Arabidopsis thaliana: one gene and its partners. The protein of the gene in region 4 interacts with the protein of the main gene of each other region in a pairwise test. Each region holds a gene or a part of one and is shown on either strand. Other genes may lie near its edges.

What was found.
Region 1: the proteins of APE1 (region 4) and AT4G31330 interact in a protein complementation assay, tested with the Arabidopsis thaliana proteins (one large-scale study listed by BioGRID).
Region 2: the proteins of APE1 (region 4) and AT4G16444 interact in a protein complementation assay, tested with the Arabidopsis thaliana proteins (one large-scale study listed by BioGRID).
Region 3: the proteins of APE1 (region 4) and RUS3 interact in a protein complementation assay, tested with the Arabidopsis thaliana proteins (one large-scale study listed by BioGRID).

The regions. Positions count from the first base shown.
Region 1 is NC_003075.7:15,199,763-15,206,130, reverse strand, and holds AT4G31330 (transmembrane protein, putative (Protein of unknown function, DUF599)), read right to left. Parts: upstream 3,844-6,368; 5' UTR 3,778-3,843; coding exon 3,610-3,777; intron 3,532-3,609; coding exon 2,980-3,531; 3' UTR 2,569-2,979; downstream 1-2,568. Other genes in the region: AT4G31340 (myosin heavy chain-like protein), read right to left, coding at 310-469.
Region 2 is NC_003075.7:9,272,701-9,280,023, forward strand, and holds AT4G16444 (tail-anchored protein insertion receptor WRB-like protein), read right to left. Parts: upstream 3,748-7,323; 5' UTR 3,559-3,747; intron 3,399-3,558; 5' UTR 3,357-3,398; coding exon 3,246-3,356; intron 3,171-3,245; coding exon 3,091-3,170; intron 2,968-3,090; coding exon 2,897-2,967; intron 2,606-2,896; coding exon 2,535-2,605; intron 2,451-2,534; coding exon 2,369-2,450; intron 2,286-2,368; coding exon 2,236-2,285; intron 2,163-2,235; coding exon 2,091-2,162; 3' UTR 1,738-2,090; downstream 1-1,737. Other genes in the region: AT4G16442 (Uncharacterized protein family (UPF0497)), read right to left, coding at 1-4, 107-270; AT4G16447 (uncharacterized protein), read left to right, coding at 6,129-6,506.
Region 3 is NC_003070.9:4,718,066-4,726,331, reverse strand, and holds RUS3 (root UVB sensitive protein (Protein of unknown function, DUF647)), read right to left. Parts: upstream 4,759-8,266; 5' UTR 4,616-4,758; coding exon 4,494-4,615; exon of another isoform or gene 4,385-4,493; coding exon 4,327-4,384; intron 4,247-4,326; coding exon 4,187-4,246; intron 4,111-4,186; coding exon 4,072-4,110; intron 3,982-4,071; coding exon 3,919-3,981; intron 3,819-3,918; coding exon 3,762-3,818; intron 3,650-3,761; coding exon 3,586-3,649; intron 3,491-3,585; coding exon 3,407-3,490; intron 3,315-3,406; coding exon 3,232-3,314; intron 3,142-3,231; coding exon 3,012-3,141; intron 2,937-3,011; coding exon 2,844-2,936; intron 2,722-2,843; coding exon 2,583-2,721; intron 2,512-2,582; coding exon 2,468-2,511; coding exon of another isoform or gene 2,367-2,467; coding exon 2,179-2,366; intron 2,086-2,178; coding exon 1,987-2,085; 3' UTR 1,817-1,986; downstream 1-1,816. Other genes in the region: AT1G13780 (F-box/RNI-like/FBD-like domains-containing protein), read right to left, coding at 18-299, 395-535, 624-1,559, 1,640-1,651; AT1G13760 (uncharacterized protein), read left to right, coding at 5,231-5,369, 5,909-5,967; AT1G13755 (Defensin-like (DEFL) family protein), read left to right, coding at 7,094-7,151, 7,270-7,571; AT1G13750 (Purple acid phosphatases superfamily protein), read left to right, coding at 8,241-8,266.
Region 4 is NC_003076.8:15,468,418-15,478,514, reverse strand, and holds APE1 (acclimation of photosynthesis to environment), read left to right. Parts: upstream 1-2,929; 5' UTR 2,930-3,017; coding exon 3,018-3,296; intron 3,297-3,573; coding exon 3,574-3,620; intron 3,621-3,691; coding exon 3,692-3,794; intron 3,795-3,980; coding exon 3,981-4,067; intron 4,068-4,393; coding exon 4,394-4,477; intron 4,478-4,588; coding exon 4,589-4,642; intron 4,643-4,792; coding exon 4,793-4,873; intron 4,874-5,017; coding exon 5,018-5,059; coding exon of another isoform or gene 5,060-5,063; intron 5,064-5,150; coding exon 5,151-5,179; coding exon of another isoform or gene 5,180-5,230; exon of another isoform or gene 5,231-5,406; intron 5,407-5,699; exon of another isoform or gene 5,700-5,751; coding exon 5,752-5,941; intron 5,942-6,140; coding exon 6,141-6,241; intron 6,242-6,659; coding exon 6,660-6,757; intron 6,758-7,206; coding exon 7,207-7,307; 3' UTR 7,308-7,615; downstream 7,616-10,097. Other genes in the region: AT5G38680 (Galactose oxidase/kelch repeat superfamily protein), read right to left, coding at 295-1,191; AT5G38670 (Galactose oxidase/kelch repeat superfamily protein), read right to left, coding at 1,644-2,333, 2,544-2,729; AT5G38650 (Proteasome maturation factor UMP1), read left to right, coding at 5,816-5,941, 6,141-6,241, 6,660-6,757, 7,207-7,307; AT5G38640 (NagB/RpiA/CoA transferase-like superfamily protein), read left to right, coding at 7,841-8,327, 8,431-8,550, 8,703-9,064, 9,228-9,972, 10,066-10,097.

The DNA of each region.
Region 1 (6,368 bases), on a different chromosome or scaffold from region 4:
CAAGCTCGAATCAGAACGGATTAGGCATTTCACAAATTCCACAAAACCATAGCAAGCAATTCGACATTGGGAACAAGTTAATACGATTCATATCTGAAATCGATCCAAAAGCTACTAATTTAAGTCAATGCTATAAGAACAGAGAAACACATCAAGTAGCTGAAACGGTAATTCTATCAGCGTCAGACCAATAACATGCGAACTCTGCAGATTCCGATTTCAAATACGAATCAAAGTCGAATAAAAATCAAAACTTCGCAATCATTCGATCAGATGGAAGAGTCTGAACAATGCAAGTCGGTAACTAACCTAGGGCACGGATCTTGGCATTAAGCTGATCCAGGTGGATCTTGGAAGAGCCATCGGATCCGGCAGCCTCAGAAACCTCCGGCTCATCAGCATCGGCGAAGACGCTGGTGGTGAAAAGCAAGGCAAGAAGTAACAAAGCGACGAGCTTCGCAGCCGCCATGTCTAAGATTCACCACCGTCGATCAACAAAAAGGGACGGAGATTCCAACGAACAAGAGAAACGTTTCCTCTCTGCTCTCTCACGATCTCTCTGTATATTTATGAAGGTGTGTTTTTGACCATGGACCGTAGAAATTTCTTAACCAGTAGGAAAAAAAGAAACAGCGTGCCAAGACGAGAGAGAGAGAGATAGATGGTACTAAACGTGAGGTAAATGGCTTCGTGGGTATGTCGTGACCGACGATGACACGCGGCATCCATCGGATCCACTTTTGTATTTTCACATTAATGACGTGGCGTAAATCCAATGGTTGATCCTTTTTGGGTAAAATATGACAACCAATTAACCAGTCGATATTATTATTATTGTCCTTTTTCGAAAGCAATTCAATCAGATCATCAAATTAATGACATTCATCTACTTGCCTGCTAACTAATCGTGGAGTACTAATTTTACTATATCCAGATTAAACCATTAGATATTCGATGCACCATTTAATTTCTCGTTAACTAAGCAACTTCTATTCTGAATTTTTCGATACTCGTTTTTTTAATTGCCTGAGAGCTAAGAATCTTTGTTTTTCTCTCCAAACAACACCGGCACGTTAACAATTTTATAAGTACGTATTATGTTATTACTATGCTTGATCCAACACAATTTGCCCTAATTTAAAAAGAATTTATGTAAAGGTTGGAATCACGATTCGCGATAGCTAAATCTATACGATTAATTGATTGGATCACAGAATCATGACAAATAAGTACCGCTGGATTATCAGAGATGTGTCTGGTCTATCGTTTGCTTTATGGCATTAACCAATTTATAATACTAGTTTTAACAAGACAAAAGTATAATTAATTAGCAACTACTCAATAATAATTATATGTACGTGGTACGTGGAGTTTGCCAACTCAAACCAGAAGCAATGACATTAACGTAATTCATCTTTTCATTAATTATAATCTCCGGTGTATAAAGCAAGGCCTAGTTGAAAATGCATATACTGATAATATTGAAAATGTATATTATTAATATACTCCAAAGTTCTCCAACGTTGCGGTCTCATCAAATCATCAGCCTCACAAATGTTTTGTTCTTCTCTAAGTTTCCCAAAAAAAAAAAAAAGGGGATGAAGTTCGATTATAGTCTATGATTCACAGGTGTTCAAAAAAAGGACAGAAAAAAGTCTCATTAAACCCAAAAAAAAAAAAGATTATAGTTTATGATTTCTTATAAGTTATATATTAGTAAAAAAGAATTACAGGTGAGTAAATGATCAAACACAAAACAGTCCAGTGATCTTCCAAACTTGATGTTGTATTTGAGTTTTGTTAAATCATTACAGAGATGTCTATCATCGTAATCCTTCGCTTTGAGCTCCTACTTCAATTCTTCAAAAGTGCAAATGCCTTCATCATCTCTTGACATTTATTTTTATAAAAAGGCTTGAAGAAAAAGAGAAAAATATCACATGCCTAACAGGCCACAGTTTATAATTTTATTAGATTTAGGCCCACTTAAGGACAGCCCATGGTACTTTTGCCAACAGTTTAATTGGCTATCTCTATGATATATCTCTGGCTATCTCGTTGTTAAATGGTCAGTAGCTATTATCCATGAAATTTGTGTATCAACGGATAGTCACGAGTAAGTTATTTAGCAACTGTCGTTTAGCTATTTAGCTACGTACGAAACTAAAGTTTTAACTACGAAAATTTTCATCACTAAAATTGTATTTGTTTGTAGCATGAAATAGCTTTTTGTTTACCTAATCTAAACCAAAATTGAAAATATATATATGAAAAATAGAGTTAGTTAACATACAATGATACAATTTTAATCTAGGCGAACATGGGCTTCAGAACTAGATTCGGATATAATTAGCTAACATCATAATCTGAATTGTCATCTCTAAACGAGTTCTAAACAGTTTGATTTCATACTACACAGAAAAATAACCGTGTAGGTATATTTCTACATTGTCTTAGGGAGGATTTAAATAGCCTCGTGACGACTGGTTCCTAACACATAACATAACAACAAAACTTAATAAGACAGATACTAATGCACGGAATAGATGTGAACATCACATTTTTTGTCCCGTTTCTTGCCCAACGTAAGCCACATGCATATAAACACTAACAGAAAAAGAAAAAGAAAAAAGAGAAACGTACATACCAAGAGAGCTGTGAGATATGCTGATACGTTATAAAGTCACCCACATGGAAATGCCAATAATAACGCTCAATAAACCAAAACGTGACATATATTACACCACACCAAATACATACGGCCGAAAAACCCTAATATATGAAAATTATAATGCGTTATTTAATTACATTTTTTTTTCTTAATCGGAAGATCTAGAATTGAAACCTAAACTATGATCTTCGAACTTTTCAACTTCCATGTAAAGTCCTCATGCGTTCATCGGTAGTCCAGGATTTAACAAAGAGGACGATGATATCACTTAATTACAAATCACTTGTTCTACTGACCAGAACTCGATTTTACACAGATCCAAAACTAGACTTTTGATCAAGTTTTCTTCTTTCTTTACCGAAGAAGAAGAAATCGAGGTTGTAAAGTAGAGGAACCATCACGACCGAGCACAAAAACACAAGCACCGGTCCAAATATCCAAAGCATCAACGGCAAAGCCGCGTAGAACAACCGATTCCCCACAGTATTCAAAATAAACCCTCTCTCTAGCAACTCCGCCACGTACTCCTCCGCGGTCATCATCATCTCGTCCTCCAACTCCTCAGGAGGAAAAGGAGTGTTGATGAGGATGTTAACTTGGTTGATGAAACGAATTGAGAGAGAGTGAGAGAAGAAGGAGAAGAGGAATATGGTGAGTATCGTGACGTACTTGAGAGCCACCATGAACTCTCCGCGAGCTCCAAAAACAGCGTCGTTTAGAGGCTTCTTCACTGCATATGTGCTGCTTAAAACCGCAGCTAGACCAGCGCAGAGGAGGATCGATGTTGTTGCCATCAAAGTCGACCCCATTATGCAGTTTCTAAGCGTTTGAACGGCCAAGATGTTCTTCTTGTCGTTGTCCTAATTTAATCAAATACATAAAATTAAAATCATATATTTATGTGTGTGAAGATGTTTATATAAGAAAATTGAAGTTACCTTGATGATGGAAGCGACCCAGAATCGGCGAGCTCTAGCGTTAGTGCCGATGATAGTGGTGAGAGGCTGTGTTCGTAACTTATGCCACAAGTAAACATGGTAAGATGCATACACCATTAGCCCTAGCGGCACCAATATCACATCTAAATAACATTCTCTCCATTCCATTTCTATCTTCTAAACTTATCCAAGTTCTATCTTCTTTTTATGAAGCCGTTTTCTATATGACTTCTTGGAAGGTTTAAAGACCCTATTTATAAGAAAAATTATAATGAAACACTAACCAAATAATTTAAAATAATTGTTTTTTTTTAATTTTATTTTTTGATAATGAATCGGATAAAAAAAATTTGTTTTTTTGAGAAATGACATAAAGGTGGATGGAGAGGGATGACGTGGCATATATTTGTCCTTTTGTTCGCCATTGTTATTTCCAAAGTGATCTCTCTCTCTTTTTTTCTTCTTCTTTGTCAACAAGTGATCTCTAGTTGGAGCCCATATCATAGTATATATAATTCTTGCACGCTTTTGATTTCTGTCTTCTACCATTTCTTTTGCTTTCTTCTTCTAGTCATATATATTTGCTTTTTTAAAAGGCCTATGTTAATCATGTATCATGTTTATGTAGCCGTCAAGTAAAAGTTTATGGTATTCCAACAAAATAGATGTTGTGTGATTATGTTTTAATAGATGGATGTTTACAACTTATGTAAAATTCGTGACATTTTTATTGAATAAACTGCACTAGATTTATTCATTTTTAGTTATTGATAGTGTAGTGTAATAGATAGCAATTAATTTAGAAGATTAGCTATTCGTACTACTAAAAGTCTAAAACTATCCCCTTTTTTGTATACTACATAACTTGAATAAAATCTCAACACTTAAACTTTATCATCCTCCTTCAGTAGACTTTTTTTTTTTAATCATTTTATCAGATAGCTAATCATTTTCATTTCATTTTCTAGTAAAGTATTCTTCTAATTCTAGCTATGAACATATCTATTATGAATTTATGATCTAGATATTCTTGAAAGGATATCAACATGATGTATGTATCTATGTATACATTAATAACATATGCATCACGTTGAAACGTATTCATGTGACATACAATAAAATTTCGAAACAAATAGTCGGGCTTCTTTCCTAATACCTGGTGAATCCGACAGATAAATGTTGATAGACAACACTAATATATCTTCTTCTTCTTTTTTTTTTTTTTTTTTTTTTTTTTTTTTTTTGTCAAAAACACTAATATATCTTACAAATTAAATGATATTATATATACTATGGAAATGGAGCAATAAAAAATCTGCCAATAAGTAACTAGTAGTACTGCATAATTTCTCGAGGATACAAAATGAGTGAAATCTGACGAGGACCATATACAGATATTGTGGGTGATTATCATATATGAGATAAGACACAGACATGAGATGAGGCTGACCTTTAACCATCGCCGATTAGTTTCATGCATCCCTCTCATCATGACTAAGTTTAATTGGTTTTGGGTGTTTCATTCACTATCGTCCTTCACGTTGGAATTCTAGCTGTTACTTCCACAATTCACACTAACTTATCTCTTTTTGGTGTTTTTAAATCTTTTAAATATTACAATTTTGTGTGGAGTAAGCGCTACAAAGAGACGGTAATTAATAACATTTATAGAGCCCCAGAATATAGGGTTTTGGATTTATCTCAAAGTATAACTTTTGTTTTCTATCTAAATCAGATGTATATAGCAAATCACCAATATCAGGTGAAAAATTTAATACCTAATAACTTTTTTTTGTTGTAATTAAGAGATTCTAAGCCAAAATTCGTACATTTCTTTAGATTCGGATAAGCTTTTAAAACCTTTACTCGGACTAATGGACTATGGTACTTTTCCAATCGAGCAATCCCATATTTCATAAATTCAAATATTCACTGTATCTGTATGTTCATTTTTTATATATGATATTCAGATATCTTGAATCCTATATCTTAGATATATTTTAAGACAAGCACATTTAGGTATTTAAGTACTTTCGATCGAATGTTTGGTTATTCTTATTCCGTTGCATCATTACATGCATGAATGACCGATCCTCTTGAAAAATTCTTCCACTTTCCAAACGCAGAAAAAATGAATGGGCATATTTATTTCATTTATGACAGCATTGCAATGAACATTCTATTAAAACGAATGACATTATTCATCTAATAAATTGCATTTTTTTACAAAAACTACCAGTTAATTCTTAAATGAATAACAAGAATTGTTCCGGTTTAAATGAAAAGGGGCCAGTTTGTTTAGTCATTTTGATGAATTGGTTTAACTTTGGTTCTGTTTTATCCATGCTTGTGGTTATACTTACATGATTCTAATTATCTTGAAAGTATTTTAGCTGTAGAAATGGACTGATTTTTTGAATCTGTCATTGCTATATTTGACGAATCAAAATGAGAATAAAGTAAAAATAGAGATGCAATAATTGTTTAAGAGTGTCAAGCTTAATTTTGTTGTGACGTTCTTGGACGGGAAGTGCGGCTTGGTTCCTAATTTGAGTCCTTTGTAATTCAAACTTGATAGTGCTCCTTCTTTATATCCTCATTAGTTAGAACTAAAGGAAACTTCAAAAGCTAGATCAATCATCGAGGAATATATATATTGGGTTCTTTAATAATTTCAAAATGTATTATTTATAGAGCACTATAGTTTCTTGAATAGGCAAGTTGGCTGCGTTCTTGTTATTATTTGGACGTAGTTTTTT
Region 2 (7,323 bases), on a different chromosome or scaffold from region 4:
GAACCTGCATCAATCAATCCCAACAATAACAACAAAAAAGTTACAAACTTTGCAATCTATCTCAAGTCAAAGTACTAAATCCGAAATGGGTTTATGATAAGCTTACACAACCGCCTTCATGTCCGTGTACTTGGCCGTCTTCTTGATAGTGAAGATAAGCTTGACCTCAGTGTCTGTCACAACTAGAATAAGCGCGAGGAGAGCGAAGACACTGATGGAGCACCGTAAGAGCAGCTCCGTTAACCTCATTCTTCGATCTATTAACTTCATCTTGCTTCTGTATCCTCCAGGACAGATTTCGGCCCCCAAAATAAACTCACTTGTACTCTTAAAAATCCGATTTTGGACAAGACAAGAAGACAGGTTCCGTAGAGAGACTAAAGAGAAATAGTGTCCACACTCGGCTTAAGGCTTTAAATAGAGAGTTCCATGCTTTTACTTCACATCGCTTGGGTCCTTAGGCTTTTATTGAAAAATATCACCAAAATTGAAACTGTGTTAACGAATAAGTTTGCTACTAGTTTTGTGTAAATTAAGGCTGGACAAATTAGTTTCTAGATTCAACTAGTTACTAAAAGACCAACATATGAAGTGAAGTGTTATTAGTTATTGTTATCATTTTTACTATTATTACCACCGTCTTCATTTTTCACTTTTTACTATTTGAAGGAAAAAACAATAGATGAATTCACTGAATAGTTCATAATGAAAATACTTTTTTTTTTTCGTTTCTTAAAAACTTATGGTTTTTTTCGTTTTTAGTCTTTTAGAGGAGAAAATTGGATATTTGAAACTTTTCTAGGAATTCAACTTTCTCTTAAGTAAAAGTGTAAAACGGATCACATAATTTAGATATCCTACAAATACGGATACTTATTTCTTACATGAAATTTATAGTAAACCAATTATATCTTCACAATGATCTCATTTTGTCGTGACTTCTTGTTTTAGAGTAAACTTTTAATATGCTATTGAATTAGGGGTGATAGAGAGACACAGAAACATAGTCCCTAAATCTGCCAAGTGGTAGAAAAGTTCTTGTAGACGTTACTACGTATATTATTATGAGATGCATTGAATTGAAATGTGCATGGGTTCTGATCACAAACCCAAAACACAACATTTTTCTAACATCCCCCCTCCCTTAAAGACGAAAGTGAGATATCACAATGACCTTTAGGATTAATTAAATTACAATGCTCCATATTTGTCTTTTAATGTTCTAGGAAAATGGAGAGAAGAAGAAGAAGAAGAAGAGAAGATTGTTATCTATCCCGAGGAGATTATTAAATTATTAAGATGGGACTTTGGATGCCCACATACACAACTATTTAATGAACCTTCTTCTTATTTATTGCACTTCCCATCTCCCAATTAGCCCCTCTAACCAAACCCTTTTCTTTGGTTCTGTCTTATTAACTCTTACTAATAGGCTTAACCAAATCCAATCAAGTTCTTTGATTTAGAAAGACAAGTGTAGATGATGTGACACGTGCACGTTCCTTTCAAACCAAACAAGATACTATGATTTAAATTGTTTTCCTTAATTAAGTAATGTGGTGGTTGGAAGTGGATATTATAATGCCCTCGAATTAATTGCTAAAAAGATTCTCCCATTAAACTTTAGTGCCTTCACCAAGCTACCCACTTTTAATAATAGTAAGTATTTTTATTTCTCTCTTCCATTTTCGGTGATATAATGCTACATCTTAATGAACCACATGCATTGGCATCGTGTTGAATAAGTACACGCGTCTTTAGAATCTGATTTTACAAAGTCGGTGTTACAAGATAAAAATTGACAACACGTAGAGGAATAGAGACAATGTGTTTGTTATGGTGTATATATACACATTGGGTAAATATTGGGGCTGCTTCTACGGTAACAACCTGCTCAACTCTCAAAAACGAACTACTTGTTATTGGTAAAATCCAACAAACAACCAGAGAAAAAGAGTCATATAAATATACATTGTTAAGGAAGATTAGGAACAAAAAGAGAAGCACAATTTCTGCCACAAGTGTCTCCTAAAAGGCTACAACTTTGAACTCAAAAACCATCCAATCTTCACTCTTTTCAGGGATGCGATTTAGAACTCCACGAACCTACACACATATTTGCTCACTCTGTTTGAGAGTATGAGCCACGGTATGATCCCGACCTGCATTTTTACCCAACCAACACTCTCAATCAAGAACAAGCCCAAATAAATGGATTGAGAAGAAGGAACTTACCATTACATGGCCTGTCATGTGACCTCCTGTTCCCCAAGATAACAAAGTCCCTGTGAAACACACCACATTCATTTTTTTCCTATGTGTTATATACCATAAGCGAGCTTTAACCTGGTAAAAGTAAACTACTCACCAAACGGTTGAACAAGTTGCTTAGCGATAATGGCAATTGGAGTCCTCCAGAAGCACAATACCAAGATTAGGTATATCACAACCTAGAAACAAAGTTCTTAGCACATCTCGATTAAGGAGTTTTAGACGGAAAAAAAGAAGAAGCTTGAGCACACAAACTAAGCTACCTTCGAAGCAAGCAGACCCTTCCCATACATATCGTATGAAAGCTTGATTTCTTTGTGATGCTGCTCCAGATCTAAAATTTCAAAATGAGAATTAACAAATACACACACACACCAATACTACACCATGATGATGCAGTGCTTTAGTAGGAATATCTGCTACCAGATAGTATTCATGTTTAAAGCTAACTAACTGTTGCATCATATTTCTGAATTTCATGAACTCTACACTCACAAAGCAATCAATCATATTTCTGAATTTCATGATCTCTACACTCACTAAGCAATCAATCATATTTCTGAATTTCATGAACTCTACGCTCACTAAGCAATCAATGTAGAACTAATAATGTATGCATACTCACATTGTGCAAGTTCTTTCTCTTTAGTAGCTGCTGACCTCCTAAGTTTCGCTGCTTGCGCAAATGTGGCTGGCCTGCAAGTAAACAATAGATAAATCTCTAATCAACAACACTCATATATATATTTTTCAACAACTGCACCTTCCTTAACTCAAATCACTAGAACCAAAACAAAATGTGACAACAAAATGGCTTACTGAGACAATGCACTAGCCTCTCTCAAAAGCTGCTTAATTTCGGTTCGCAGCTCTGATTCCCTCGTGTTCTTCGACCCTTTCTGAAGAAATTCCATAATTCAAAACGATGATTCATGTGGATATGAAAAAAAGCCAAAAAGTATTATCTTTTTTACCTTCTTCAATTGGTCAAGCCACTTGGATAGCAATTGGAAGACAACGACGACGACGAAGGTCAGAGGAGCAGCCAAAAAGCCGCGATCTTCTATAAGCTTCTCTCCTTCCATTAACCCTTTTGCTGATTACTGATTCTAACGTAATTCACCAATCTGCTCGAACAATTCATAACTCAGTACCATTCAGATCAACAAAATAAAAGCCTTAATTGAATCCATCATGTTCTGGATAAACATATCATCTAATCAATGGAGGAGGAAAAGATTCTAGTGCATATAGAATGAGATCGTCGTGAGTATGATCGGAACTTACAATCTCCGTCGTGGATTCACAGAAATTTGAAGCCTTCAAGCCGAGGTTAACGTCTGAAATTGAACGAACGATGGGAATTTAGAATTGGCCTGAATCTGTAAAAGAGGAGGGTTCTGATTTTGATAAAACAAAAGTTTCTACTCGTTTCGTGAAATAAATAAAACTCAAGCCCTTATGTGTAAACAACAATAACTAAACCCTTTTTCAACAGGCTCTATTGGGCTTCGTTGAAATAAAGAAACGGCCCATTAAATTAAAACTAAACCGCTTGTTTATTTTCTTTAAAATTTCATTAAGCTTGGGTATACATGAGTACATGTGAAAAGAAACAACAACTAGGCTACAAGTTTCAGTCAACAGTAAAAGTATCCAAATTTAGAATGAATAGGATAAAAATAGATATAAATAGTAGAGATGTAGTAAAACTACAAAATGGAGGGTAAGAAATTAGAAATGTGAAAATTTAACAAACATAATGTATTCTTTTTACGTGGAGTGGTTGTAATGGTTTTACCAGAAATGGCACGCGTTGTCTCTAATCTTTCTCAACTAATCTAAAGACACTATATGTTTTGTCTCATCCGATCCCACTTAATTATGTTAATCATCTATCTAATTGGGGTTATCACCAAATCAGAGCATTATCGATAACATCGCAGATACCGAAGCTGAAAAAAGGAAGAAAAACAATGTAAGTCCAAATCCTAAACGTCGTAGCATCTTCAGCTTTCGTGTATGCATGCCATTATATTCCAATTACTTGACGACAAACTTTTGCTCCCACCACTTTTGATGTGCCTTTCAAACTTTGTATCCCCATTGTCCACTTCCTCTTTCTTTCAACCCGCTCCGTTTTGTAGCTATACTGTCTCACTTTTTTTCGTTGTTAGAGGTGTAACAATAAATTTACCAATTTAATCTAATATATCATTTCATTTGTAATGATATCAACATTCTTATCTAATATCAACAATCAAGAGTGATACATTATAAAGGCATTTGACATTTGTATATATTGGTGAATATATGTGAGATAAGTTTTGTACCTTGTGGACCAATTAATGTGGGGAGTTTGCAGAATCCGACTATGAAGTGAAACTCAAAATGCACACATGTGGTTTAGAATTGTATCAGAAAATTTTACATTATATGGGTGTTAAGAATTATATGTACTGCAATTATTATATATATCAAACACAACTAATATCTATTATATAAGATTATCACGATAGGAAATATATAAGTTTGCATCGGCTTTGCATTGAACACATATATTAATTGATACGTATATAGTATTCTACTTTTTTATAAATTAATCTTTTCGATCCCTAAATTAGTAAAAATATGATAATGTACATGCATGGATGTTTTCATTATGGGAAGGGAGCGTAGAGTAGCATTTTGATCGAGAGAAAACGAGGAGATCGAGAGAGAATGTCTTGTGTAAAAATGAGTGGTCTTTTTCACAATTATTTATCAATCAAAACACATCTCATACATATATGTTGATATCATTATTCCCTAGTCTATTGAACTCCATTTGTCTTTTTATCAATAGATAGGCCCACTTTTTATATACTTTTTCCTCCTTGCCAAATCATAAGAAGTTAAAACTTAAAAGTGGATCAACTAATTTATAGAAACCATTAACAACTTTTGACACTCTTCTTTAATGTGTGTTTCATTTTTAATTGAATGCCAATAATATAACTTTAAATTCCACTGAGAAGATTTGACGTAGAGACAAAGAAGTGGCTCCAATTCACCATCTCCCAAGCCACCAAAATCTCTCCTAAACCCTTTTGTCACTCCCTTTTCTCATATTCACTTTTTTTCCAAGGAATATTTAAAACCTCATGCAAGTTTTCTTGAATATAACAACATACGAATATGATCTTTGATTAGATTACTCTTTTATATATTATGGTTAGGCATGTCCTTGCAAGATTTTTGTATTTAACATATTGAAAATTTATCATTGAATTACAACTCTGTTATGCATACAATCAAATCAAACGTTTAAGAAGACCATCCCTTATATATATTTATATACACCCTATATTCTCGGGATGTAATAAAGTTTCCATTTCAAATAAAAAGAGCCCTTAAAGGGAGGTAAGTGGGGGGCATGAAAAAAGGGTTTATATATCTCAATAATCATCCAAACAAACCAATCCATGTGCTTCCCTTCAAACATTCTTCTTGTCATTTTCCTCCCAACCATTTTCTACTTTGGCCAACTTTTTTTCTTTTGCTTCTTAAAAATAAAAATAAAAATATGCAAATTTCCACTCACACATTATACATTCTCTTTTTACAATCCTTAGATTGTCACTTTTGCCTTCTTCCTCTTGTTCTCTTACCACTTTACTCCTGATTCTCTTCCTTTCGGAATTTCATCGAACTACTCAACAACCCTATATACTTTTATTGTTTTTAAAGTATTCTCATGCAGATTAAATAATAAGAAATAATATACACCTTTTTCCTCCTTATATAAATAGGCTCAACACACGTAACATGGCCCCAAACCCTAGCAAGACTCTCTCTAAGACTCATATCATTACGTCATGAGTTCAATAGCAAGAGACCGAAAGGAACAAATGGTGATCCATTCTTCAATCGTCTTGCTTCAAGAAAGATTCAGACAACTTCAGAGAGCAAGAGAGTTAAGAGCTGAACGAGAGCTCCTAAACCCTAAACCTAACCACCAAGACAACATCTTGCAATATTACAGCGAACCCACTAGTTTCGGTTTCTTTCAGTTTCTACCTATAAACTCTCAAACATCTTCGTCACAGCAGCTCCTATCCCTCTCCTTATGCTCACACTCCACCTCTGAATCCATTGAAAAGCCAAGCTTTTGTCATCAGTGGCCAAATAAAGATGACAAGAAGATGGGTGGGATTGATCGATACGACGATGTTGACACGTCTCTGCATCTCTAAAACTAAAATAATTGTTCCTCCATCTTTTTGAAGTTCTAATTAAATATGTATGTATATAGAGTTTGTTTTCGTCGGTATGCTCTTCTAAAGAGTCTTCTAGGTGGTGGTGATATATGTATGGTTAAAATGGCAATCATATATATTAATTATTTCGAAGTTAATGATTATGATATATTTTATATCACGATGATAAAGATCGATCTACTCATTGATTTATTGGTTATTCTTTTGTTGATGGTTAATTGGTTACTATATCATTCCTCAAGTCTTTGCTTATACGTATCCATGTAATGTTTAGCTTTTTATATATACGTAACTACTTCTACCTCAACTTCACCAACGAAGGCATGGTAAATAACTAAAGATGTCGGAGTGGTTAAGAAGACAGACTTGAAATTTGATTTCAGTTGGGCTCCGCTTGCGCATGTTGAAAACTCTGCTTTTGCAGCTTTGCTTCTTATTGTTTTTGACGATTTTTCTTAAAGATAGTAAATAATTGATCATACAAGTCGTGCCAAAAAATCGTCAATCAAAGTTCAAAACCTACTTGCATCGTATTTGATTCAGTACTCTTATATATGTGTCAGTAATAATTGAGATAGAGAAAGATAGAACTAAAATGTCGACACTCAATCATAGATAGATTTTTAAGAGAATAAAACTCGAGTACTATTCAATACTATATCGTGCATGTTGTTAGATCTGCTATTTTCGATCGTTTGGAGCTTGATTGACTTAAATGGGCTCATTCGGGTCTGTTATGAGAAAGCCCAACCAAGAAAGTTTATGGGTCAAAGAGAAAAGCCTCTAGACGAAA
Region 3 (8,266 bases), on a different chromosome or scaffold from region 4:
GATACTCATGGCCTCATTCAGCATCTAATGATAATTTGACATCTCGGAGAACGTTTTGTGAGTTTATTAAGTTCCTCGTAGATATCTGATTCCGAATAATGTTGAGGACAACCCATGAAACTCAGAATCAGTTTCTTGAGGACTGCTGAGTTTTCGAGAAAGTAACTCGCTATTTTCATATCCTGTTCCCCCCAGTCAAACAATCCTTTTATCTCAACATGTTCAAGAGTCGATACGAAACACCGAGGCACATTTACGAGTTCAAACTTCTCCATCACCTCCACTGGACATTCAGTTTCCTGAAAACACCAACAAAAGTAAAGCTAGGTATTCAATTATAAACATCCACAAGAGCCACAATGTTGTTACGCCAAAATCATTTAAGTTTTTTTACCAAGATTAAGTGTTTCAGATTCGGGAAGCTCTCAAGAAAGGCTGGCAAAAACTGTAACAAGGAGCTCGGGAACGCAGCCTCTACACGGGATAAGTTATTGAATTTGGGAATCAGTCCTACTTTTGAGTAAAGATCAAGGGCCTGCAACAAGAAGGAAAGGAAAAAATGGATGCTAGTGAGAGTTTCCCAAGTAGAAAAAGACCAAAATTTGTTGTACAAAAATATATACCTTCACTGTATTATGAGAGATGACCATATGTCTTACACTAGATATCCCGGTGAGAAAATCACGGATTTCATTTCTCTTTGGTAAGTCCTCCGGATCAAACATCCAGCCAAACCCGACAATGAATTTGATATCAAGGTCAATCATGAATAAAGAAGTAAGGTTCTTTACCACGATTCTATCGAAATGGTCTGCTTTAAGACTCATATACTCTAGTCCAGGAGCATCAATCTCAAATGTCTGTGTCACTCTCCTAAACAAAGAAAGTTTATGCCTAAACGGAATAGAAAACCTCTTCAAGCTTCGAGATCTCACACGCGTAACCACCAATTTATCATCATGAAGATAAATCAGTTCTTCAAGAACAGGACAACCTGAAACAAGCTTCTCCAGATTCATAGTACCACTACTATCCCATCGAACTTCTCGAAGATGCATGAATTTGAGACAAGGCAAATAGACAAACCCTGGATCCTCAAGACCCGAATACGAAAGCTTCAAAGAAACCAATGTCTTACACGAATAAAGATTCAGAGGCATGAACTCGATACAAGGATAGTCAATGCAATCATCAGCATCTCGATAATAGGTATTGCTCTCAACATCTAAAACTCGAATCCCGCGGCTAATCGCGTCACCAATCCGATCCGAGAACTTAATGATCTTATCTCTACTGTAATCTACCTTGAATTTTTGAAGACGTGACTCATTGTTAAACTGGAGAAATCTGTCAATGAAATCAATCAACAGTTTTTCGTTGTTGTTCTGAAAGGGGAAATCACGGCAGTTCAAATCAAGTCCGGGAACATTAAGCCATAGATTCTTCCATCTAGTCGATAAAACACTCGTCTTCACAGAAGCTTTAGTCGGAAGGTGTAACAGTATTTGACTAATCAAAGATTCCGGCAATTCGCTAATTCTATCAAACCCAGGCATGACCTAATAGCATTAACAAACAATAAATTAATCGAATTCCAAAAACTAGGGTACAAGTGTCTGACTATAAACGAAATACTCACCGTGGATTCCATTCGCCGGCGGAATTATTGGCCGGAGTTGTGGAATTAGCTTCAGCTACGAGCTAAACGATGAACATGAAGTGATAATGAAAGAGAATCACAAAATTGAAGTATTTATACGTTCGAAGCGGTTCCGATTCCAATTTTTGCGTTTCCAAAAAAATAAAACGGTTGCCATTATTATAATTCTTTAATTTTCCATTAATAACAAACGTTATACAATGTTAAACCGACATTTTACGGTTAAACCGGTATCGGTTACATGTTTTACATGACTTAGAACTAACATATTTTTGTATGTTTGCAACGAGTTAACAAACTATTTTGATCTTGAAAGGCGATAAAGCTCAGTCGAACTTAGCAGCGGAAGTGTGAGATATCCAATTAGCTCTCCAAGTAATGGAAGGCGAAAGAAGACGCTCTGTTTTCCAACCTCCTGATCTCAGCTACATGGGAAACAACAGAAAGAAAAAGAGTGAAAACAGTAGCTTTAGTGTCATAAAAACACGGTTTAACTGGTCCTAGTGATTTAATCTTACCTTGTGGAGCAATTCGTCATAGTGTTTATCAATCCAAGCTTCTCCTTCTGAATAAAAAGATGTGCTCTTTTCCATAAGGTTTGCCAAAACAATGGCATGAATATATGATTTCAACACATCTGCAGGTTTTGAATCTTTGTGCAAGATCACACTAACATTTCCCTTTATGTGAGCCAATAAATACTTAGCTGCAGGAGTGTACAACAACAGACAAGAACCGAGCTTACGTCAAGTATGGACAGAGAAACTAATGTCCTTGAAAGATTGTGGAAAAATAAATCAATCAAACCATTCTTGTATGAAGAAGCTCCAACACCATTTAGCAGCTGCAACCTGCACACAAATATGTCAAGCTTGAGCCGATTCTTTACCCGAAAATTATGATAATCTAGTATAGAGCTTACATATCTAGACGAGGGAGAGAGGAAACTCTCACACCTAACTGCACTCTCTTATGCAATGGCTTTGAATTCGTTGACCTCAATGAAGTGGCCCACAAGGGCAATACACCCTCCATTGAAGAAACCTGTTCGGGAGAGAGAACTGGCAACACGTTTAGTTAAAGAAAGTTATTGGTATATGGTGCAATAATAAAGAGAAACCAATAAAAAACAAAGGAAAGCCACTGAAAACTTGAAAGAATCAATGGCGCATTTCGAAATTACCTTGGCCAGTTTGAATGAAATGTGTTAGAAGAATTGAACTCCTCTCAAAGTTTAATGAATTCAATACAAGACACCGGACAGCTCTATAGTTTGCTAAATATATAAGAAAGGCAAACAGTGAGAGAAATTCTGATTTGATCTATGCTTTAACCTTCATTTGTGACTTACCATACATATGAAACACGGTGAGAGAGAGAAACGAAAGCCAAATAGCCATAGGGTTTCCAGAGGTAAACCGAGCTAGCAACATTCCCAATGACATACCCATCATAGTTGCCATAGTCTCTTGGCTTCCTTCCTTTCAATAGATAAAATAGAAGCAAAGAATTACTCAAAGTTCACATTTATAGTTTCTATATCATTCACAGTGACAAGAAGTAAAGAGTACCTTAGCAGATATATCCGCTGCATTGTCTTGAAGAGCAAAGTGCTGTGTTAGAGCTGCTCTGGTTGCTCCACTTGCAACACCAGCTAATAGCCAAGATTGAAAAAAGTTAAAAACCGATGTATCAATCCAAACCGAAGTCTTAACTTCAATGTTTGATGCAAGAAATGATACGCACTAAATGATCTTGATAGGCTCCCTAAGCAAACCACAACGATAAAGGCAGATGGAAACAAAGGAGAAAGAAGGTCCATTAGCATTCCTGCAATAAAAGCAACAAAGCTTGTAGTCATTCAACTGAGAACCAAATACAGGCAATTAGTATCAAGTGTGATGTGACAACTAACTTTTACATACCAATATCATTCATAAGGTCAGCAACTAGGCGCCACATTTTTGCATTGCTATCCAGGTTGGAACCCTGAAGAACAGAACAGTTCCCATTAAATAAGAACGTAACCAATCTAAATCTTAAAGAAAAGGGAAGAGAATCGATGTGTATTATGATTGGGAAGAATCTGCTACATAGGCACCTGATAAAATGTGAACAATATACCTCCAAGCATCCCAGTAAAATCCCTCAGAAACCACTGCATAATACACAAGATAGAATCACTATTCTCCATTGCGCTTTATAGTTCTTGAGAGAACTAGTGTGAAATGTTATATGTAAGCAATGGAAAAACTCACCTGAAATGTAGCACCTATAACAGTTGCGGATTTCTCACCAACGCCAATTGCACTCAAAAGAGCCTGAAAATAGTCCAAATCAGAAATGCTGCAGCAGACAAATTGGACCAAAATAGAGAACTCAGAAGCTCAAAAACTTTAGCTTTAGCTCACCTGAGTGGAAAGCATCATCTTTGTATAAGTTGAGAGGCCCTGCAACAAACATAGCCGAGAGTCACAATTCAAATTTCACAGTAGCTATAAGGCATACAAGCATATTCTCACATACCTGTAATGTGTCCCATAACTGAAACCCTACATAATCTGGAGTTACACTGCCAGGAAAGCCCTGCACTAGACAAAGTACAATTCAGCCAAACCCTAATCCGGAGGACAGATTCTAAAGGGAAAAAGAGAGAAAACACTTGCCTCTGGTACAAATGCTTGAAGAACTCGTCTCCACACATGATTAAAGCGATTAGCAGACCTATGAATCACTCACAGGAGACGAAAACCCAAGAAAGTTTCTCAATTTTGTTGTGAATCCACTGAAACTATCAGATTTGGATTGATTTCAAAGAGGAATAAAGAAGAACCTTTGGATAGAGAGAGAAGAGGAGGCAGTGATGGTTGCTGTTTTGAATAGCTTAGTGGAAGAAGAACCATTCCATTCTTCAAGAGTAATCGATCCGCAATCAGAGACTTGTTCTTCTCTCATGGCGAATTTTGGCTTCTTACGAGTGAAAAGAATCACTTATTCAAATGTTTAGACTTTATGAGTGTTTTGGACTTTGTGTTGGGTTTCAATTGCAATTGAATAGTCCAATGACCCAAATGTGATTGGACTTTGGGTTAGTAAAAGGTACGTTTTTGGCAAACGCAGGTCACATGTCCACATCATAGTCTTCTTTTGGCTCCCAATTGGATTTCTAGATTTAGAAACACTTAAACCAACAAGTCACGGAAGTGTGTGAAAGGAATGTTAATGCTAATGATCACCATATCTTTATATGCTTTGTGCCTATGTTTCTAGGTTTTGATCATCAGTCACCAACTTTATAAATGTTGTTTCCTACAAGTTATCTCTAGAACACAGTTGTATCACATTCATCTTCATCTTCAGACATTTGTTTTCATGATCTTCTTGTGAGAAATGGGAAACTTGTTGATGTTTTGGTGACTCTTGTGTCAATTCAAGAGGGAAAATCTCATCGAAAGCAACCTTTGTCAGGAGTTGCAATTCATAGGACACTGTTTGATGTGAATGAAGAAGCTTATGTCAAAGCTTCTCCAACAGTTCTCGGATTTGATGTAAAGCTTTGTGTTATTTTATATGATAAAAGCTTTACATTGCACCTTTTTCTTTGTTTCTACAGTGCTTCGATTTGTCTTACAAGAGTTAAATATGTCGATCCACCTCTACTGTGTTCTACGCCTATCAAGGTCTTTTCCTCATCAAGGTTTACTACGAGGTTTTGTGCTTCTCTTCTCTGCAATGAGTCTTAAATTTCTTTACAAATTCTTTAAAGTTTGATGTGTTACTAGTTTCTCTTCTTGTCAGGGTCTTTTAAAAGTATATGCAAACATCATTGTATTATATTAGAATATATATATATATATATATAGTATTCAGATTCATTATTTCAACTGATTAGATCTATGGAACAAATTGAGAGAGAAGAAGACAAGATTCTGAATTTGAACAGCAGCTAAAAAGCAAGAACAAATTTGACTTTTTAATTCCCTCTCAGAAAAGAAATGACGAACCCAAAAGTTCTTTCTAACTTAAGAAAAACTTGAGCAAAACTTAAGCAAAACTTAAGAAAAATTTAAGAAAAAAACATTCCATTTTCTTATCAAATTAGTTCTAATATTATCGTAGCTAGTGCTCAAATATCACCTAGGTTCATAACAGAGAAAACACATGGTACATATTTGGATTTTGGCCACAACTATTTGAGAAAAACTGTATGTATGTATTCGGGATCACGCCATCCAACCATCCTTGCAGGAGCCATTAAACGGGACTATTCATGTTGTTGCGGGAGGTGGAGGAGCCAGTCTAGATGATTTCTCTTGCATGCAGTCCAGCTGGAGCCTGCTCGGCGACAAGGACTTTGGGTTCGTCACCTTAATTGTCGTCGATCACTCTACCATTCAGTTCGAGTACAGGAGAAGCAGCGACGCAGTCATCCACGACTCTTTCGAGATAGCGAGGGAGTACAAAGAGATACTGGCGACTTTCACTTTGTAGGATAGGGAGAAATTAAAATAAAACGGCTATCTATTTTTATTTTGGACGGTTAATTGGAATAAAAATATCTGGTTTATTTAATATTGTCTTTATAAGTAAGTATTCGTGTAATAAACGATTGGTCGATTCTTAGTTTTTACTTGCGAATCTGAAGAATCTGATGATCGATGACGAAGATGATTCACTAAAGCCTCTTCTTCAATTGGAAGGTTCTGGTTCAGTAAAATTTTCCGGTTAAATTACTCAATAAGACGGTTCAGTGGTTAAGTGGGTCGATGTCTATTACTTAAAATGGATCAAGGTTTTAGAGGTTTTAAATAATGGATCAAATTAATTTCGTTTCTGAATCTGTGTAATCTTTTGTTGTTTTCAAAATGTTTTAAAGTTATAAAGAGGGCACCGTGCCTGTAGCAACATGTAATGATAGATCTCGATTTTGTTCCTATTCAATAGTATTTTGGTCACTAAATTATGTTTTTTTTTTAAGCATAAAATCATCTTTGATTTTTCTTTGATCCAATACTTATTTAGACATAAGCATTTGGACTAATGATTTTAGAAAATTTGCGTGGGTCAATCATCATCTAATATAAAGCATAGTCCACTAAATCTGATAAGAAATATATAGATAGACATTTAAATCGAAAAAAATCCTTTATTTCCAATTTTGCAACTCTTATTTGGTAAACATATCTAGTATTAATTAAAACTTTAATTAGATTTCCATGTTTATGAGAACTTTGTTGTTAGTCAAAAGAATCCAATAACAATTATACTTCAATTTCCACGTGTAAATATTAAAAAAAATAGTATCTAACCATCGCCTAAACTGGACTATAAAAATAAAAAAATCGATGAAGAATACCTTCAACTTCACCATTGCAAGATTTACCAAACAACCAAAAACTTCTCCAGTGAAGGAAAAAAACATCGACTTTGAAAATGAAGATCGCTTCCTTAAAATTGTTGTTATTGGTTTCTCTACTTTTTGCCGTAACCCGTAAGTAAACAAAAAATATTTAAAGTTTCATTTTGTGCTTTTAGTATTTTTTATTTACATAGTTTTTCATTGATTAATATGTTTTTTTTTGTTTCTTATCTCTTATTAATATATGCAGAAAATGGAATTAGCATTCAAAACAGTGAAACTTCTGTCAACCAAAACTCATGTATGCCGAATGAACCAAGATGCACCGGTTGTCCAGGTGGTGGTAGTGGTGGTTATCGTGGACCACCACCTCCATGTTGTAAGAATGATAGTGATTGTAAAGCGCATTGCCCAGAGGGAGGTTATTGCAGCAACCAATGCGACTGTGTTTGTAATTTGGTTAAAGTGATGAATAATGATGTTCGTTGCCAAGTAGATACTGATTGCAACATGAAATGTTCAAAGCAAGGCTATTGCAAATTGGCATCTTAAAGAAAACTCCTTTGTATATGCATGCATATATGATGAATGCTTAAAATAAATAAATATATTTCAATAACCGCAGGCGTTATACTTTTAGTGACTTGATTTATCTCTCTTTACTCGGATTTCATGCAAAACGGCCTAACAACAACAAAGGACTTATTATTCTTCTCTCATTGGATGGCCCATATGATATCCCAAAAGCATTGACACTTTGGATTAGAGATCATGTATAGCACGCCTTAGAAGAAGGATTTTTACATGAATGTCATATGGATCCAATGTATTAATCTTGTTTATGTTAAATTCTTGAGTAATCTTTTTCTCATTCAGACATTAAAAAATCTCGAGTTCACTAAATTTAAGCAATTTAAAATTCCGCTAATCAAAACTTGATGTGAATTCTTCTACTCCAGTGCAATGTAAATTGGCCGTTGACGAGCAAAGTCTTGACTTTTTTATATCATTGAGGGGGAATCTCAAGACTGGATATTCTAATTATTAAAGACTCTTCTTATTAATCTAATCTTCTTCAAAGTTTCAATCTTTGAGTTTCTCCGAAAGATTCAAAGCAAAACCAAGTTAGTTATAATGTCCTCACTCTGTTTCTTTTAATCCAATTGCTAGTCTTTTTGCATCTTTCTTGTGCCCGCTCGAATTGTTTCAGTCTTAGAAGACATGAGAGAATCGTTAGTTGCAATCTT
Region 4 (10,097 bases):
ACAATAGAAAGAGTTATACATCATGGTTGCATGCATATACACCACACACATTCATCAAATGGTAGCAACAAGAACATTTTCGAAAACATATGTTAGAGGGACTGTAAGCACATGATCAAACCACTCAACTTTTCCCCAAATTTCACGTTTTTTGCGCCTTTCAAGCGTAATCACTGCACACCAGAGCATCTTATTAGACCCACTATAAGTCATATTCTCCTTCCACAAAACCGCCATCTTTCCACCAAAATTAGCTAATCTAGGACAAGCAAGAATAATAGGTAGTTGTTCTACCAAACCCTCCAACTTTCTCCACCGTCCTAGCTCAGTGTCATACCATCTGAAAACAGTGCCACGCCATGTTTTTTCGACAGAGTACAAAACGTTCTCTATCTCACAATAATCATATGAAGACTTATAACTACACATCTCTGATTCAACAAGGTCCCATATACCTTTCTTGGGATTGTAAGAAACCACCTTTCTCTTAGCCCCTACATACCACTTTTCGTCAATACATAAGCTTTTGGAGTAAATGTTGTGTTTTGTTTCGTTGTAAGGGATAGGTACATGATCCCAAACTTGTGTTTTTGTGTCGAACACCTCGAAAGTGTTCTTCAAGTTAAGAGAATCTCCATCTTTGCAACTTCCGGCTACATATATCTTTCCGTCAAGGACGCCAGCAGAAACTTCAACTAGCTCCACTGGCAAGCTTGGAGCCTCGCGCCACGTGTGAGACCGGCAATCAAAAATCGAGACACTAGAGTAAGGTGATATGGATCTGCCAATGTTGTAGATATTAGAACCAACCGCCACGAGACTGGAACGTTGCACAAGACGAGGATGTGGAATTGATACTGTAGCCAAAACATACCCACTTGACTTCTTCTTATTACTTGTTTCAGAAGATAGGGCTTGATCAGGTTTCAAGCAGAGAGTAAACCAGCTAGGGCTCTCAAAAGGATTTAAGTATAAGCATACATATAGACAACCCTCGGTGCGGTTCAAGAGTGACCGTTCCTTGTAAAGCTCCGGTGAAGCTAGGAGAGATCGAAAGCTCTTGGAGACAAAGGAGAGAATCGGATAATACAATCTTGAGACTCGTGCGATGCAGCTTATTATCAAAGCATCGGGAAGTGACGGATTTGAGTTCGATTCCGGCGCTGGCGAAAACTTTTCCGGGGACGACATTGGATGAGTTTAAGAGACGAAAATGGCTGTTGAACTTGGAGAAAACAAATTTAGGGTTGGACTTTATATATAGAGGGATTAAAACCGGTTAATGCCTTTGGTTAAGGGGAGAACCGGTTATTTGTTTTGTATGTTTTGTTTGGTTAAGCATTGAGTAGTGAGTTGTTGATAGCTTCATTTATGAACAACCAAAAAGGCTCTATTTGTATGCTAATAATGATCACTCGAAATCTCTAGGTATGAAACGATCCTTATAGTTGTGAGATGTGAGTTAGTTTTAAGAATTTATGTATGTATTCTATATTTCTTATTATGATATTGTATATTCAGTTTTTGTAATGTCGGATTTCTTTTATGGTAAAGAATTATGCTTATCAATCAATAAGTGACATAAATTAATTAGAAGTGAAACAAGGGACAAAATCATAGTTTCAAGGCTCGTAACGCATTCATCAAAGAGTAGCAGCAAGAACCTTGACGAATTCATATTGTCTAGGGACTGTAAGCACATGAGCAAACCATTCAACTTTTCCCCATATTTCCAAACTTCCGCGTCTTTCAAGCGCAATCTCCGCACACCAAATCATCTTCTTTCGGCGCCCAGGCAAATAGTCGTCCCACAAAACTGCCATCTTCCCACCATAATCAACCATTCTAAGACAAGCATCAATAGGGAACTTAGGTAATCCTACCATACCCTTCAAGTCTCTCCACTCTCTTTCCTCACTGTGATACCACCATACGGACGTTGAGATATCTCCTTTTACAATAGTGTACCAAACATTCCCTATATTGCGATAACAATCATATAAATACTTATTATGTTCTATGCTTGGTGTAACCAGGTCCCATCTACCTTCCTTGGAATTGTAAGCATCCACACCTTTGTAGCTCACCAGGTGCAATTTTCCGTCAAACCTTACGATTTTGTAGTGAAAGTCGTGTTTTGTCTCGCTGCAAGGGACAGACAAAGGATCCCAAGTTTGTGTATTTGTGTCAAACACTTGGAACGTCATGGAGTCGCCATCTTTGCATCTTCCTGATACATATATCTTTTCATCAAGAACGCAAGCAGTACATGACATTAGCTTCACCCGCAACCTAGGGCCCTCGTGCCACGTGTTAGACGTGCAATACAGAATCTAGACGCTAGAGGAAGGCAATTCATATCCGCCAATGTTGTAGATACTAGAACAAACCGACACAATGCTCGAAGAAGATGACTCAAGAGGAGTATGTGGAAATGGGACTGTAGCCAAAACATACCCACTTGACTTTAGGGTTCCAGTATGTTTACGGAAAAGAGTAAACCACCTCGGTTTCTCATCTTAAGGATTTAACTTTAAGCACACATAGAGACAACTCTCCGTGCGGTCCAAGAGTGATCGGGTCTTGTAAAGCTCCGGTGAAGCTATGAGAGATCGAAAGCTCTTGGAGACGAGGGAGAGAGCCGGATAATACAATCTTGAGACCCGTGCGACGCAGCTCAATATCAAATCATCGGGAAGTGACGGATTAGGGTTCGTTTGCGACTGCATCGTGTACCGCTTCTTCTCCAACTTTGCAGAGAACTTCAAGGATCGGTCTTTATAAAGAAATTTCCAAAACCGGCTCACGTCTTTGCTTAAGGAAAAACCGGTTCAACTTTCCATAGTCAATAGAATCCGAACCGCCAATTGATTTTGATTGTTGACCGGGTTTAGTAGACCGAATTTAGAATAGGTGAACCGTGGCCAGAATTTTGGCGGCCGATACACTTCTTTACCTCAGCCTCACATTACTACTCTCACAAAAGATACACAGAGAGAGAAGAGAAGAGGAAGAAAATGGGATCTATAACGGTAGCTCCGGGAACCACCGTCTTATTCTCCAGTCGGCGGCTAGATCTTTGCGGTCGTCGCCATGAGAATCTATCCGTCGTTTCGTCCTCACAACCGTCTCTGATGCCAAAGCAGAGATGGCTTTATATTCCCGAGACGAGGTTGAAAAGAGAGGTTTTAAAGCTCGATGTCGTCGGAAGAGCTGCTGATTCCACGAGCTCTTCTCCATCAGTAGCTTCCGGTGATAGAACCTTAATTCCTGATGATGAATTCACTTTAGCCAAGGTTTTAAATCCCTAATTAAAGAGTTTCTTCAAATTCATTGTGTTTATATAATTAACTATTCCTGAATCAGTCATTGCCTTGTCCAATTTTGTGAACTGTGTGAGATTTATGGTAAAAGTATAGTGTCTCTCCAAGTAGGTAGATTCGATTATTAGTGGTCTGAAATTGAGAATTAGGAAGGATTTGATGTATGCAACTCATAGTTTATAGGTGGTATTGAATGTGCGTTGGAATAATTTTGGACACTGAAATTTTTTCCATATGTTTTGCATTGCAGATTTCATTTGGTGTTATTGGGCTAGGTCTCGGGGTTTCGCTACTCTCGTGAGTTTTCTCTTGCCTTCTTTGTTGCTATGGGTATATGTGAGGTTTAGCATTATGGATCTGTTTAACAGGTATGGTTTTGGGGCCTATTTTACTATCCTTCCTGGAACTGAGTGGTCTGCTATAATGCTAACATATGGATTTCCCCTTTCTATTATCGGAATGGCTCTTAAGGTATGCTCTTTATGCTCTTTAGTTATCTTTCTCACTATCATGTCCTTGAGAAAGTGGAATGTTTCGGATAACTGTAAAATTACTGAGAAAATTGACTTTTGTATTAGAGTTACTCATTTCTTTCTTTGAGTTTTCGGAATGGTTAATTGTTTTAGTCCCTGAGGATGGGTTTTGCTTCCTTTGCAGTACGCAGAACTCAAACCAGTTCCTTGCTTGAGCTATTCGGATGCGGTGAAGCTTAGAGAAAGCTGTGCTACTCCTATTTTAACGCAGGTACGTAGTGGTTCTGGTTACTCTCGACTGACCGGAGTACCTTCAATCTGATTTTAGTTGTTCTTCAGCTCGTCTTTGTTACATTAATTTCCTAAAACATATTTATGTTTCTGATAAGAGGAAGGGGTGTTAGTAGTTTTCGTCATTAGTATTTCGAAATTCAATCTAAACACTAGCTTGATTTCAGTATCATAGGTTCTTTTGCAGAAAGTCTTGCTCAGTTTAGTTTCCCTATATGACATCACATCGTAGTTTTGTCAGTGCACATAGGATTTTAAATTTACTTCTCGTGAATTGTTAATGTGCCTTCTTCTTTCTTTTATTAGGTTAGAAATGATGTCACGAGATACCGTTATGGAGATGAACAACATTTGGAAGAAGCACTAAAACGAATCTTTCAATATGGGCTGGTAAGCTATTTTGTTGAAACAAAATGAAGCACGAAAACAAAATGAAGCACAACACACGCTTCTTGTACTTCCGCTTTAACCTCTCTTTCTTTCGACTGTTTTGGTCATAAGGGAGGAGGAATCCCGAGACGTAGTGCACCTATCTTACAGCTGATAAGGGAAGAGGTACATTTCTTCACGCGCATGACTTTACATCATATTATTTACATGAATCATCAAAATATATAACTCAATTTTTACTTGCATATGACATGGATATTGACTGGTGAAACTAAACTTAAACGGATCATTTTTGATAACTCATCATGTCTGTAGGTCCTGACCGATGGTCGGTACTGTGTGGTCCTTGTATTTGAGGCCAAAGCTCTGACGTTGTCAGATTTTGAAAAAAGACAGGTAAGAGTTAGATTCATATACTACTAACAAATCAGCTTGGCGCATAAGAAAATAGCTTAAGTAGCGTTGGTTTTATCAAATCTAGTTTTTAAGAAGTAGCAAAACATAAAGCTGGAACTAAGCATAAAAATTTTGTTTTGATAGGCGAAATTCACTTCCTTCTTTGGACCAAACATCACGGCAGAAGTCGGTAAGTAGTGAATCAATTCTCCATTCATGTTTATGAATTTCTTGTTCTCGGTTCTTAAAAAATTATTATTGTTGTTTTGCTTTGAAGGTAAAGGAGAAAGTGAGAATCTCTATGAAGTAAGACTGATTTCCAACCTCTCCACCAACTCTGTATCTTCTACCTCTTGAACATAGACAATCATGTATACGGCGACGTTTTCAGTCAATGTTATTTTGGTCTTGTAAATCAATTCTATATAATTATCCTATGTATAAAAAGTTCATACTATTTACAGAAATGGGAATTGGAACTAGCCTTGTCGAATGGTAATACGGTCGGAAGGGGACAAGCTACGATTGCAACGTGTTCTAGAGTAATTTTGATTTGAGTAAACAAAATACATATACTGTATATTATTCATATCTTGGTGAACAATACAAAATATATTAGTTTGTTTTAAATTACCAAACTAAAGCCTTAAAAAAAGTATCAAATTAAGCACATAAGTTAGAAAAGAAAAATGTGTTGTAAGAAAGAAAAAAGGTTAGGAAAGAAATATGCGACAGAAAAAAGAGTTTTATGGGCTTACAAATAAGAAAAGCCCAAATGGGCCTTGAGTTTGAGCTTTACATAAAATTCATTCTACTAAACTTAAGCAAAATCATTCCTTCTTCTTTCTCTGAAACTTTTGCCTTGCTTGCTTGCCCAGAAAGTCGCCGAGAAAGTTAAAAGTAGAACGGCGGAGGAAAAAAAAACGAAGAGGAAGAGGAGAGATGGAGTCGCAGAAGAAGATAGCTCATGAGATCGGAGGTATGAAGAACGATGCTCTTCGCTTTGGTCTTCACGGCGTTAAGAGCGATATCCTTAGATCTCATCCTCTCGAAACGGCTTACGAATCTGTAATCAATCACTTCACAATCTTTTTTTTTTTTTTTATTGATATTGAGGAATTAGAAAATTAGGCTAATTAAGGAACTTAGGGTGTTGATGAATAAGCTTCGTGTTGATTCAGAAATTTGAGAATTGGGATTTTTTGACGGGGTTTCTGAAATTAGTTTTTTTTTTTCCTTTCTATAAACTTGTTTATTGTGATTTCAGGGGAAGCAATCACAAGAAGAAATGAAGAGGAGAGTGATCACGCATACTTATGGAGCTGCTCTTCCTTTGAAGATGGATCTTGATAGACAAATCCTTTCTCGGTATGGATCTTTAAATCTGTAGCATATGAAATTCTGAATTACACTGATTATTAGGTATGAGAATGTATGAGAATCTTCCTTAGGCTTTATAGAATACTGTTAAGATTGAAATATGGTTTCCTAATGCTAGTAATCTATCTTGATTAGGTCAATTGCTGTTCTGAATTTTGAAATATTGTTAGTACAAATGTGTATATGAATCATCATAATGATTATATCGAAAATTCGGAATCATAATCGTGTAGTGCTACTTAGAATTAGATTTGCAGAACCATAAACGCGTAGTGGATACTCTTAAATTAGTAGCAATATGTAGATTGAATTCAGAACCATAAACGCATAGAGCAGCCTCTTCTTCATTGAATATTTATTGGTGAATTGAATATTTATTGTATATCTTTTTATGTGGAGTATTCAGGTTTCAGAGACCTCCTGGACCAATTCCTTCATCAATGCTTGGCCTTGAAGTCTACACAGGAGCTCTAGATAATTTTGGTTTTGAGGATTACTTGAATGGTAATTGTTTTACACCAGTTTTCCCATTTGGTTGTGCATTAGAGTTTTCTATTCCTACAATCTTTGAGCATTTCTCAAAACATGACCGTCACATACTGCTTGCATTGTGTAACCAAATCATCCTCATCCTTGCATAGAGTTTAACTCTTTGTTTAGCATATAATAGAAAAGTGTCTCAACTTGTTTATTTCGTTTCGCTTACTAGTCTCTACTTTGTAGATTGTTCCACTCCAAAACACCAATAGACAGTGACAAACCTTTGTTCCAGTTAGACTGTCACAAATCATCGAGCATTGCTCAAAAATTGACTGTCACATACTACTTACTTACATTGTGTAACCAAAGTTGAACTTTTGGTTCAGTATATAAGAGAAAAATGTTTAAACTTTTTAATTCTCTTAGTTTCACAATTTATATTGTTCTGACGATGAATGGTGTATAATCTACAGATCCTCGCGAATCCGAGACGCTGAAACCAGTAGACTTTCACCACGGGATGGAAGTTCGGCTTGGTCTCTCCAAAGGCCCAGCTTCCCCAAGTTTCATGTAGTCACCACCATCAAAGTATTTCCTTCGTCAGGTCTCATATGCTTTTTAATCTGAGTAAGATCATGTTATGAATTTCCACCAGCCCTAAAAGAATCTACTTGTTGTTTGATCTCTTCTCTATACTGTGTCTCCTTTGCTCTGAACATGATAAAACATATGAACTGTGTTTCAGTTCTTATCTCTCTCAGTTCACAATTTGTTGGACTTGCTTAGTTATTTAAATAAGATTATGCTCCTATTTCATTATTATGTTACTGACACCAAAACCTTGGATACTAGATTCTATTAGAATAAATAAATTGCATATGGATTAATACTCTAAACAAAACAAAAACAAAAGAACAAAGTAAGATTGTTTTAGTGACTCGGACTGGACTGTTAACATCGGATAAATCTGAAAAAGTAAATAAATAAAAATAAAAACCCTATTCTACGTTTTATTCGTCTGGGAAAACAAAAATTAAATTCGATCCCCAAAATTAATAATTCCGTCTTCACCGAGAAAAAATCCAGAGCTTCTTCTCCTCCGACGCGATGGAGTCTCGTCGGAACCCTCGCGCCGTAGTAGATCCAAAGGTCCGACAAGTCGGTTTCTTCACATCATCTCAACCCGATTCATCAACTCAACAACAACAACCCGACCCGATCGCTGCTACCTCTGCTTCTTCTTCTTCTTCCACCATTTCTCCTTCCGGTAACTCACTCTCCCCCGTCATGATTCCTCCTCCTCGTCTCAATTCCTCTGATACTTTCCCTCTTCGAGTCGCTGTCGCTGGTGCTGCTGCGTCAGCCGTGTCTCCTTCTTCGTTTTCTTACTCAAGTCGCCGTGATTTCCCTGATGGATCAACGACGGCGTCTCCTGGACGCCATTCCAGGGGTAGTTTCGTAAAATCATCTGTTCCTGTTGCTTCTTCGCTGCCTGGTATTGGGATGGATTCTATGGCTGCTGCTAAATCTAGTAGTGTTCCTGCTAGTGGTTTAACCACTGTCTCCGTCGTTACCATGCCTCCTGGACTTTCTGGTACTCTCACTTTTGATCTTGTGGAATCATAATTTGATTGATTTTGAAATTTGTTCTTTAGGATATATGAGGCTAATGTATTCACAATGTTATATAATTGCAGAGAAGGCTAGTGGAATGGAGGTGCAGAGTGACCAGAAGAAGCCATTGAAAGAGAAAACCACTAAAGCTGAGAGACGAGCTATTCAAGAAGCTCAAAGAGCTGCTAAAGCTGCTGCAAAAGGTGCATTTTTGATTTAAACCAATGTGTGGTTTTATCGCAATGAATGATTCGTCAGCTTAGTACAGAGATTTGATATGCTGGTTGCTCTGTTGTGTTATCGTTGTGTATTTTGCAATATCTTAATCAGTCTGTGTAATACTGTGCTATATCAGCTGATGGTGGGAAGGTGGCACCAGTGTCCTCAGCCTCGGTGGCTTCAACAAGTGTTAAAGCTGCTAAACCAGCGAAGGCTACATCTCAGAAGAATGATGTTGCTGTTGCTACTGGAGCAGCTGAGAAGAAGGGAGGTCCATCTGAAAAAGATAGAAAGAAAGATGCTCCTCATCCCCGCATGCAGTATGATGATGAGAGTAGAGTCGTGAAGGCTAAAAGACGTGCTGTTGTAAAACAGACCGAGGCTAAAAACAGGGTTGAGCTATTTAGGCATTTGCCTCAGTATGAGCATGGCACTCAACTTCCTGATCTCGAGACTAAGTTCTTCCAACTTGACCCTATGCATCCTGCTGTGTACAAGGTATTTGTTTTCTCTTGAATTTATCTGGTTGGTGCTTCTAATAAACTATTAATAATCTCTTTGTTAAAACAAGGAACCGTTTGTTCTAATGAGTGGTTTATATTGCTTCATTAAGATGAATGTTACTTGTATACTGAATGAGTATCAGTTGTTGTGGTATCAGGTTGGTCTTCAATATCTTTCTGGGGATATCTCTGGTGGCAATGCCAGGTGTATTGCGATGCTCCAAGCATTCCAAGAGGTTGTCAAAGATTATTCAACACCGCCTGAGAAGTCTCTTAACAGGGACATGACTGCGAAAATAAGTAGCTACGTCTCCTTCCTCATAGAATGCCGTCCGCTTTCGATTAGCATGGGAAACGCAATACGATTTGTGAAAAACAGGATTGCAAAGCTGCCTATAACACTTTCTGAATCTGAAGCAAAAGCTACTCTTCAGTCAGATATTGAACGGTTCATTAACGAGAAGATCATAGTGGCAGATACGGTGATAGTCAAACATGCTGTTACTAAAATAAGAGACGGTGATGTCCTTCTGACCTACGGATCTCCCACTGCTGTTGAGATGGTAATATTACATGCACATGAACTCAGGAAAAAGTTTCGAGTCTTGGTGGTGGATTCTCGTCCAAAGCTTGAAGGGCAGCTACTGCTTCGTAGATTGATCAAACGAGGCATTAACTGTACATACACTCATATAAATGCCATTTCATATATCATGCATGAAGTCACCAAAGTGTTTTTGGGCGCCTCGTCAGTTTTGTCTAACGGAACAGTTTATTCAAGGGTTGGGACTGCTTGTGTTGCAATGGTTGCAAATGCATTCCGTGTTCCTGTGCTTGTATGTTGCGAAGCCTACAAGTTCCATGAGAGGGTGCAATTGGATTCAATATGTTCCAATGAGCTTGGTATGCAATATCTTCTCTCGATATCAGTATCATCTTATACCGCCTTTGATTTTGTTTTACCTTACATTGGGTTTCTTGCTTCTTTACCTTTAGGTGATCCAAATGCTATTTCAGAAGTTCATGGA